Arabidopsis thaliana: one gene and its partner. The protein of the gene in region 1 interacts with the protein of each later gene in a pairwise test. Each region holds a gene or a part of one and is shown on either strand. Other genes may lie near its edges. The genes, in order: AT5G47860 and AT1G72030.

Evidence for each region.
Region 2: the proteins of AT5G47860 (region 1) and AT1G72030 interact in a two-hybrid assay, tested with the Arabidopsis thaliana proteins (one large-scale study listed by BioGRID).

The regions. Positions count from the first base shown.
Region 1 is NC_003076.8:19,379,509-19,383,434, forward strand, and holds the start of AT5G47860 (Gut esterase (DUF1350)), read left to right. Parts: upstream 1-2,010; 5' UTR 2,011-2,147; coding exon 2,148-2,356; intron 2,357-2,433; coding exon 2,434-2,503; intron 2,504-2,701; coding exon 2,702-2,826; intron 2,827-2,950; coding exon 2,951-3,059; intron 3,060-3,179; coding exon 3,180-3,243; intron 3,244-3,329; coding exon 3,330-3,385; intron 3,386-3,557; coding exon 3,558-3,665; intron 3,666-3,926. Other genes in the region: CCR4 (CRINKLY4 related 4), read right to left, coding at 1-1,550.
Region 2 is NC_003070.9:27,108,983-27,112,732, forward strand, and holds AT1G72030 (Acyl-CoA N-acyltransferases (NAT) superfamily protein), read left to right. Parts: upstream 1-1,849; 5' UTR 1,850-1,904; coding exon 1,905-2,234; intron 2,235-2,321; coding exon 2,322-2,374; intron 2,375-2,455; coding exon 2,456-2,843; 3' UTR 2,844-2,950; downstream 2,951-3,750. Other genes in the region: AT1G72020 (TonB-dependent heme receptor A), read right to left, coding at 539-759, 1,273-1,345; dNK (P-loop containing nucleoside triphosphate hydrolases superfamily protein), read right to left, coding at 3,177-3,378, 3,466-3,533, 3,616-3,750. UniProt on the Arabidopsis thaliana protein: Protein acetyltransferase with dual specificity triggering both N-alpha-acetylation (NTA), with a preference for leucine, methionine, serine, valine and to a lower extent threonine and alanine as substrates (can also use glycine), and epsilon-lysine acetylation (KA) of several plastid proteins.

The DNA of each region.
Region 1 (3,926 bases):
AAACCCAGAAGTCGAACAAGATTTTTGTGGTTAAGCCGCGACATAGACTCTAGCTCGTTCACGAACGCTGAATCCTTATCTGCTCGTCGGTGTCTCATCGTTGTCCCAGACAATGTAGGATTTGTTAGCTCAGCTCGTTTGATTGCGACATGACGTCCATCCGACAAAACACCTTGATAAACAGAGCCGAAGCTGCCTATACCAAGATGAAACCGGACAGAGAAACCATCCGTGGCTAGAGCTAGCTCGTCAATTGAGAACTCCATTAGCTGCCCAGGATTACCTAAACTTGCTAGAGTGCACAGCCTCTTCTCGAGCTTGGGTATGTCTATTGTCCTAGTATCATCAAGACGTCCAGAGTCATGGACACGGCATCGACAGTGGCTTTTAAAGATCAAGAAACTGATGACAAGGAGCAAGGAAAACGTTCCAACGCATCCGACCACTAGAAACGCAATGTTTCTTCTGCTCCAAGTTTTGTTCTTAGAGTTTTGAGCCCTAGTATCAGGAAACTCTCCATCATTTCTTTTCAAATCGCAAATCATCAACTCATTGCCGCATAAGGACTGTGATCCTGACAATGGACGGTAAGGGCATTCTCTTCTACACGGTCCTGGCATTACCACTTGAGAAATTAGGCCTTGGAATGGAGTGAAAACACCGGATTTAAAATTCTCATTCCCCCAACAAATTAGAGTGTAATTTCTTGTGGCAACACCGCAAAACATTGGCCCTTTAGCATATATTGATGTAAAATGAATGTCCTTAAGCGTTTGAGGCAAACTAAAGTTGTTGTTGTTGCCCCAACACACCACAGTTCCATTAGACCATCTAACACCGCAACCACGGTCTTCCCCAACCGCTAGTGCTAAGAACTTTTCACGTGGCAGCGACTGTGTTTGTCCCCAACACTCGACATCATTGTCAACAGTGATCGCACACGCTTGTCGTGATCCAGCCGCTATCGCGATGTAGTGGTCTCCACTCGGCACTTTGGCTATACCTTCACAACTGATCATACCAGGTGGCTGAGATAGCCCACAGAAAAAATTATCTCCCAAGGCAATGGAACGGTAATTATCCGGCCGTGGCAGATAGTACGGTTGCCAGCAACGGAGGCGCCTTGAGACTCTTTCAACTCCACAAATGCGGAAATTCCCGGCTTCTAGCTCTTCGAGCTCAGGACCGTGGTAGATTCTTTTGTGCAACATATTAGTTCCATCAACAGAGAATCTCCAACAAAGAAGTGTGGAAGTGTTGGAATCCAGCCGCGATATCAATCCGCACACAAACCCATTCCCTGAAACAACCCCCGAAAACCTTCGATTTCGAAGGTTACCGGTTAAAGAAAATGGAATCGAATTTAAAGGGAAACTGGAACATTGAAGATAAGAGTGGTTGTTGAGAGCACATACAAGAGTCTGATTAGAGATGTGGGAGATGGAGACGGTGGAGAGGGAGAAGCAAACAAAGGAGAAGGAAGATAGAACAAGAAGAAGGAGAGACACAAAGTAAGAGGAGAAACAAGAGATTGAGATGGTAAGTGCCATTGAAGAAGAGTTCTCATGGCGTGTGAATGTTTTATGTTTGAGGAGTTGTGTTTTTAAGACGGCAAATCAACGCGGTTAGAGAGACATGAGACAGAGACAGAGACACCTCCTTACCAAGAGACCAAAACTAAGTCTTATTTACTTCATTCATAGTGATTTTTCTCTATTCTAAATTATTTTTATGGTCAACTCTTTGAAAATTTCAACACTTACTTTCAGTGGCATCGTCGTATCTAAAAACTATACTTAATCCTTTGGTTGAAACAAAATAAAGAATGACTTTCGTTTATATATTCCAAGATCTTTTAACATTCATAATAGGGCTTGTACAAATCCTTCATGAGAGGATGACACTCTTCGTCATTTAATGAAAGCAAATGTGGCCCATTAAGTATAATTGAAGCCCAATTACCTTTCACACAGTTAACAATTAAGTTTTTGGTCTGATCACAATGTTTGCGTTAGCTGCGAAACAAGATGCTGTTACAGTCATAGAAGTCTTATGCGTACACGACTCCGATTTCAAAATCTGAACGGAATATAAACTCTCGACGACGAAAATCTCAAAAACCCCAAAATCTCCTCCAACTCCGAGTTATGGCTACATGTTCCCTCTTACCACCACCGTCTTTTTCTCCGCGCCGGCGATTCTGTAGTTTTTCTCACAATCGCCGGTCTCTACCTTCAATATTCAGTTTCAACAAAGAGCGTGTCTCACGAAGAGTCTTCTGTAGCTCCAAAGAGAACGATATAAACAGAGATCGGAATCAGTCTACAGGAATTCAAGTCTACGGCGAAATCGAGAGGTAAAGCCACTCTTGATTTTTCGCGTAGCTAGCTTCATCTTTAAGCTCACTATGGTGGAATCAAATTTGATTTTCAGGTTATTAACAGAGACTGTAAAAAATTCTCAGAGTAGCTCCGGTGGATCCTCTGATTGGTCAGAAGTTGAGGTGTGTGTTTTTGTGTTATCTCAATTTCTCTATGTGTTTTTGGATATGAACATTTTAGGAGCTTATCTTCAAATGTTGATTTGAATGTTTAATGGATGATTCTTAGAATCTAAGTCAAATTTAGGAGAATTGTCTGGTTTTAGAATAAGTTTTTTGTTTCAGATTTATGTTCTCAACGATTCGGTGAACTTGTTTTAGGGAGCATGGGTGCTGAAACCAAGAAACTCGAAACCGAAGATGGTTGTTCATTTCATTGGCGGTATATTTGTCGGTGCAGCACCACAGCTTACTTATCGATTGTTTCTCGAGAGATTAGCGGAGAAGTAAGTCTCATGGTGTAGACAATTTCATAAGATAGATGAGCAAACAAAAAAATGTACTAATGAATCTGGCTTATCTAACTCTAGTTTGTTTCATGAATTTATGATAACGTTGTGATGTTTGCAGGGATGTTTTGGTTATTGCGACACCATATGCTAGTGGTTTTGACCACTTCAATATTGCAGATGAAGTACAATTTAAGTATGATAGATGTTGCCGATCTCTACAAGAAGAAGTGAGTGTCCTTTTGTGATCCTAGAGAAACAAGAAATCTTTTTTGTTCTAGCTTTTTCTATGATCCAGGAGAAGAAAAATTGGTGTCAATGTTGAATAGTAGTTCATTTTCTTTCAACAGGTGCAGGATCTTCCGTCTTTTGGGATCGGTCATTCACTGGGATCTGTTATTCACCTTCTGATTGGTAACTAGGTTTAAATGGTTGTGAATGTTTAAAACTGATTCAGCTCATTAGTTTTTTTATTGAGTTGGTTTTCACTAGTCATTCAGGATCAAGGTATGCTGTTCAGCGAAATGGGAACGTATTTATGGCATTCAACAACAAGGTAAATTGGTTTTGCTATCTTACCAAAGTCAATCAGAGTTGCAATCAGAATTGTTTGGGGAAAACTGATCTAAAGTAATACTTTTTTTTATTGTAAAGATATTGTGAATCCTGTTATGGAATCACAAAACCTGTAAAAAGTGATATCTTTTTGGAACCCTACATTTTTGCAGGAAGCAAGCTTAGCTATTCCTTTGTTCTCCCCAGTTCTTGTCCCGATGGCTCAAAGCCTTGGACCACTGTTGTCACAGGTGGCAACATCCCCAACAATCCGCCTTGGGGTAAGGTTTTGATTCATTTGCTCTACTCTTTTTAAGATGTGCAGCTCTTAGCTAGTTTCCCAAGTGATAGTCTAACTTCTTGCTGTTGGTGTTGTATATGATCAATTTGTTTGGTAACTCAAGAAATGCTGTCATAAGTGCACTTAGTCCCTATAGATTTTGTTCTCTAATTATGTTTTTAAATGGCAGTAAATACTACCTTTGAATTTTGACACATGAAGTCATAATGCTTTCTACCTTGTAATGTCTTTCATCCTTTGT
Region 2 (3,750 bases), on another chromosome or scaffold:
CTCTAGTTCCACCTCATGACATTGTAATGACCACACTCGAGTTTGAAGATTCGCAATCTGCGGTTTGGCTATTAGCAACTCCATTTGTAAAACATGTTTTGGCGATGGCGGTTGAATGCTGCCATGCTTGAATGACAAATATGGTGAAACAGATAATGGTTTTAAGCTTTTGAACAGATTTGTCACATCATTTGTGGGTTTTTGTGTGCCTATGTGTGTTTTCTTGATTTCATCTCTCCTTTTGATTGTACCTTTTTATTAATAGATTTGTGAATATGTTGATCTTTCTTGGCTTTTGGGTTCTACGATACTCAAACAAAACTTTCACTTCCAATCAAAGTAAAAAAAAATATATCTGTCAGATTATCATTATTACAGCATCAAACAGCCAGCAAAAGAGGAAGACACAGAAGACTTAACCATAACGATAAGACTTGTGGCTAAGATCCAAAGGGAGAAAGAAAAACTCTCTTGCAAAAGCAGAGTTTGAGAATTCATACAAATTATTCAAGCTGTGAACAAGAGCATCCTGAGGGACTTAACCAGATTGAGTCTTCCTCTGCTGGAAAACGACTGCGAAGATAGGAACCCCAACACCGATGCTGAAAGCGGTGAATACACCGAGAGACATCTTGAGAGCTTGGTACTTCATGCGGTCCAAATTGTACATGTGTTTTGCGTGGAGGTAGTATTCATCGTAACCACCATGTCCTCCTCCGCTCATCTTCTTAACTCCAGTCGAGTGGAAGCTTCTAGTCACTGTTGTTGATGATATCAAAGAAATCTTCAGCAAGTTTTGAAATATTACCAATCAAACACTCATAAATCATCTTATAGCCCATTTAGTTTCAAGAGATACATCAAAACAAGCTGATCATAGCATGAACATGGAGCCTTTCACTGATCAACCAAAACTATCAAAACACGAACATGGAAAATTTCCATGAAACAAGGAAACATCAAAATATGCATTTCTAATTTCATGATACAATTTTTCAGCCTAATCATAAACAATCTGTTTCGCATCACGCCATTAAAGCGTGTTTCTATGACAAATTCGCGAGCAGAGAAGTTTCAAATCCCAGAATTCAATCAACGAAGAATCGCATCGGAATCAATCCGCGGCTAATCAGAAACATTGATATCTAGGCAATCAAACAAAACCTTAGAATAATCGATTCCTGGGAAATCAAACAAAACCCTAGACAACAAAAAAGGGGAAAAACAAAGAAATGCAAAACCAATTCAGCAGATACTTCTATTGGTACTGACCAGATCTGGAGACTGATGCTTCGGAAGAAGCAATGATCTTAGATACAGATCTGATGCTGGTGCTCAACGCCATGATTCAGAACTAATCGAGAAATTGCAAATGATGAACGACTTCTCTGGAAATTTTACGGCGAATTTGTTTTGGGGAGGAGAGGAGACTGAGAAATGAGAGATGATATCACACGTGCAAAGCGACATCTTCTTTTGGGCCAGGCCCATTTACTCTTACACAAGGCCTTTATTTAACTGTGTTGTTCAAATATTTTTGTTTTAAGTAAAAGCTGACAAAAATGTTCAGAAAAAAAAAACTTTGGGAATTTTCTTAGGAATCATATAACATGTCAAAATAAAAATTCATGTCACTTTCTTTGATGAACATGAAATATACTAATTTTTGCTTGCAAATCTCCACGTGTAGAGTCACCATTTGTCCACGTAGCTGAACTATTTTATCTTTTCTAACCCCAAAAAAATCTCTGGATGGTCATGAGCTAGCGATGATTCTTAACCACAGAAAACAGACGATGGAAGCAAGAAGCGTATCTTATCTCTACGTTTCATATTAAAGCGCATGAAAACGAACATAATAAAGATTCTCTTTTTTTTTTTTGAAAAATGCTAGAAAAATAAACATGGGTCACTTGCCACAGAGCCTCTACTCCGCCGCTGGACCAAAGTTTCCATATCCTGGAAGCTCCGGTCTAGGAGTAGATCAACGGAAGCTGACGTGGAGCCGCTTCCCGGTGTTCCTACGGTGCGCGTCGACGGAGTCGTTAACGAGTTTGACTCAGAATAATGCGGCGGAGATAGAGTTGAAGTATCTGGTGAGTCAACACGGGTGGGACGTGAGGAGATTGAATAGAGACGACGAGGATGAGATCAGGAGAGTGTCTCTTGTTCAAGCCGAAGCTTTCCACATCCCTCTTGCTCTTTTTGATGATTTTTTCTTCATGTTTTTTCAGGTTTGTTTATTTTTCATTCTCATATATGATTTACATTGAAGATTATTGTTTTGATGTATATGAAGATTTTGATAATATGTAATACAGGCAGAGGTTCTATCAGCACTTCTTTACAAACTAAAGAATTCACCACCTGACAGGTAAAACAAATAACATAACATAATTTCTTTAAGACTAGTTTTTAAATGTGATTAATTATAAAAGTTTTAAGAATTTGGCAGATATGCATGTCTCGTGGCGGAGCAAACAAGTGAAACTGAAACTTTGTCGAGCTCAAGTGTTGTCGGAGTAGTTGATGTAACAGCTCAAACTGAAAGTTCAGTACTTCGCTATTTTCCGGGCGTCGAAGAATATCTATACGTCTCGGGTTTAGCTGTCTCAAAATCTCAAAGGAGAAAGAAGATGGCAAGTACATTGTTAAAGGCATGTGATGTTTTGTGTTACTTGTGGGGTTTCAAGCTTCTTGCTCTAAGAGCTTATGAAGACGATGCAGCTGCTAGAAATCTTTACTCGAATGCCGGCTACAGTGTGGTCGAGACTGACCCGTTGTGGACCTCTACTTGGATAGGCAGAAAACGTCGCGTTCTTATGAGTAAACGCTTTTCTTAGGCGTTTTCTTCATGTACATTTTGGTTAAAACAATAAACACACTACCATCTAATTGGATACAGAGTAAATGTGCAGAAACATGAACTGAACTGAAATTTTAGACGACCAACAAGATTTCAAGAAACAAATTATCCAGAGACCAAACTTTTATACAAAAGGGTTAAACTAAACGGTGGCACGACCATGTTTTGTTTCTACATCTAAGATGGACAAAAGCGGCAGCAAACGTTTTTTTCCTAAATAAACGATATAAAAGCCGATCGAAACTATTGACATTCAATAACCTGACACGCTCCCTTGGAGCCAACAAAAACAGAGTCAGTGAATGGACAGTCACGCAGACGGTCTAGTGAGGAGTGACTTGAGATCTAGAGGCGGGAGATCTAATCCCGGGACATGATTGCCTGCTGGTCCCATCCAGAGACCTCCATTCTGATGTGGTAGCAGTACCGGCGACTGACTGTTGCTCTTCTCTGTAGATGTTTCTTGCTTCTTCTTCACAAACTCAAAGAACTCAGCGACCTGGCGTGCATACCTTTTAACAACATCAATCAAGAAAGTATCTATTAGATTTATGATTCCAAATAAGTTATGGTGACATTACAGTAGTGTGAGCACTTACTGTGTCTTTGCTTCAATATCCCGGCTGAAGTCGATATTGGGTTCACAGTCCAAAACCAGAGCAGGGACCTGTTACAACCAATGAACCAGTCTAAGCAAAATCTATCTTCAGACTTTTAGCACAAAGAATGCAAAAAAGAGATAAGTTTACCTTCTGGATACTAGAATGCATATGATTTCCTTCCAAGTAAAAGACACGGTCCTTTATATCAGGATGCAGAGAGTTGTCCATGTGTAAAGATGGTCTACTAACAGACAATACACCATGGTTTCCGCTCTCAAAGGG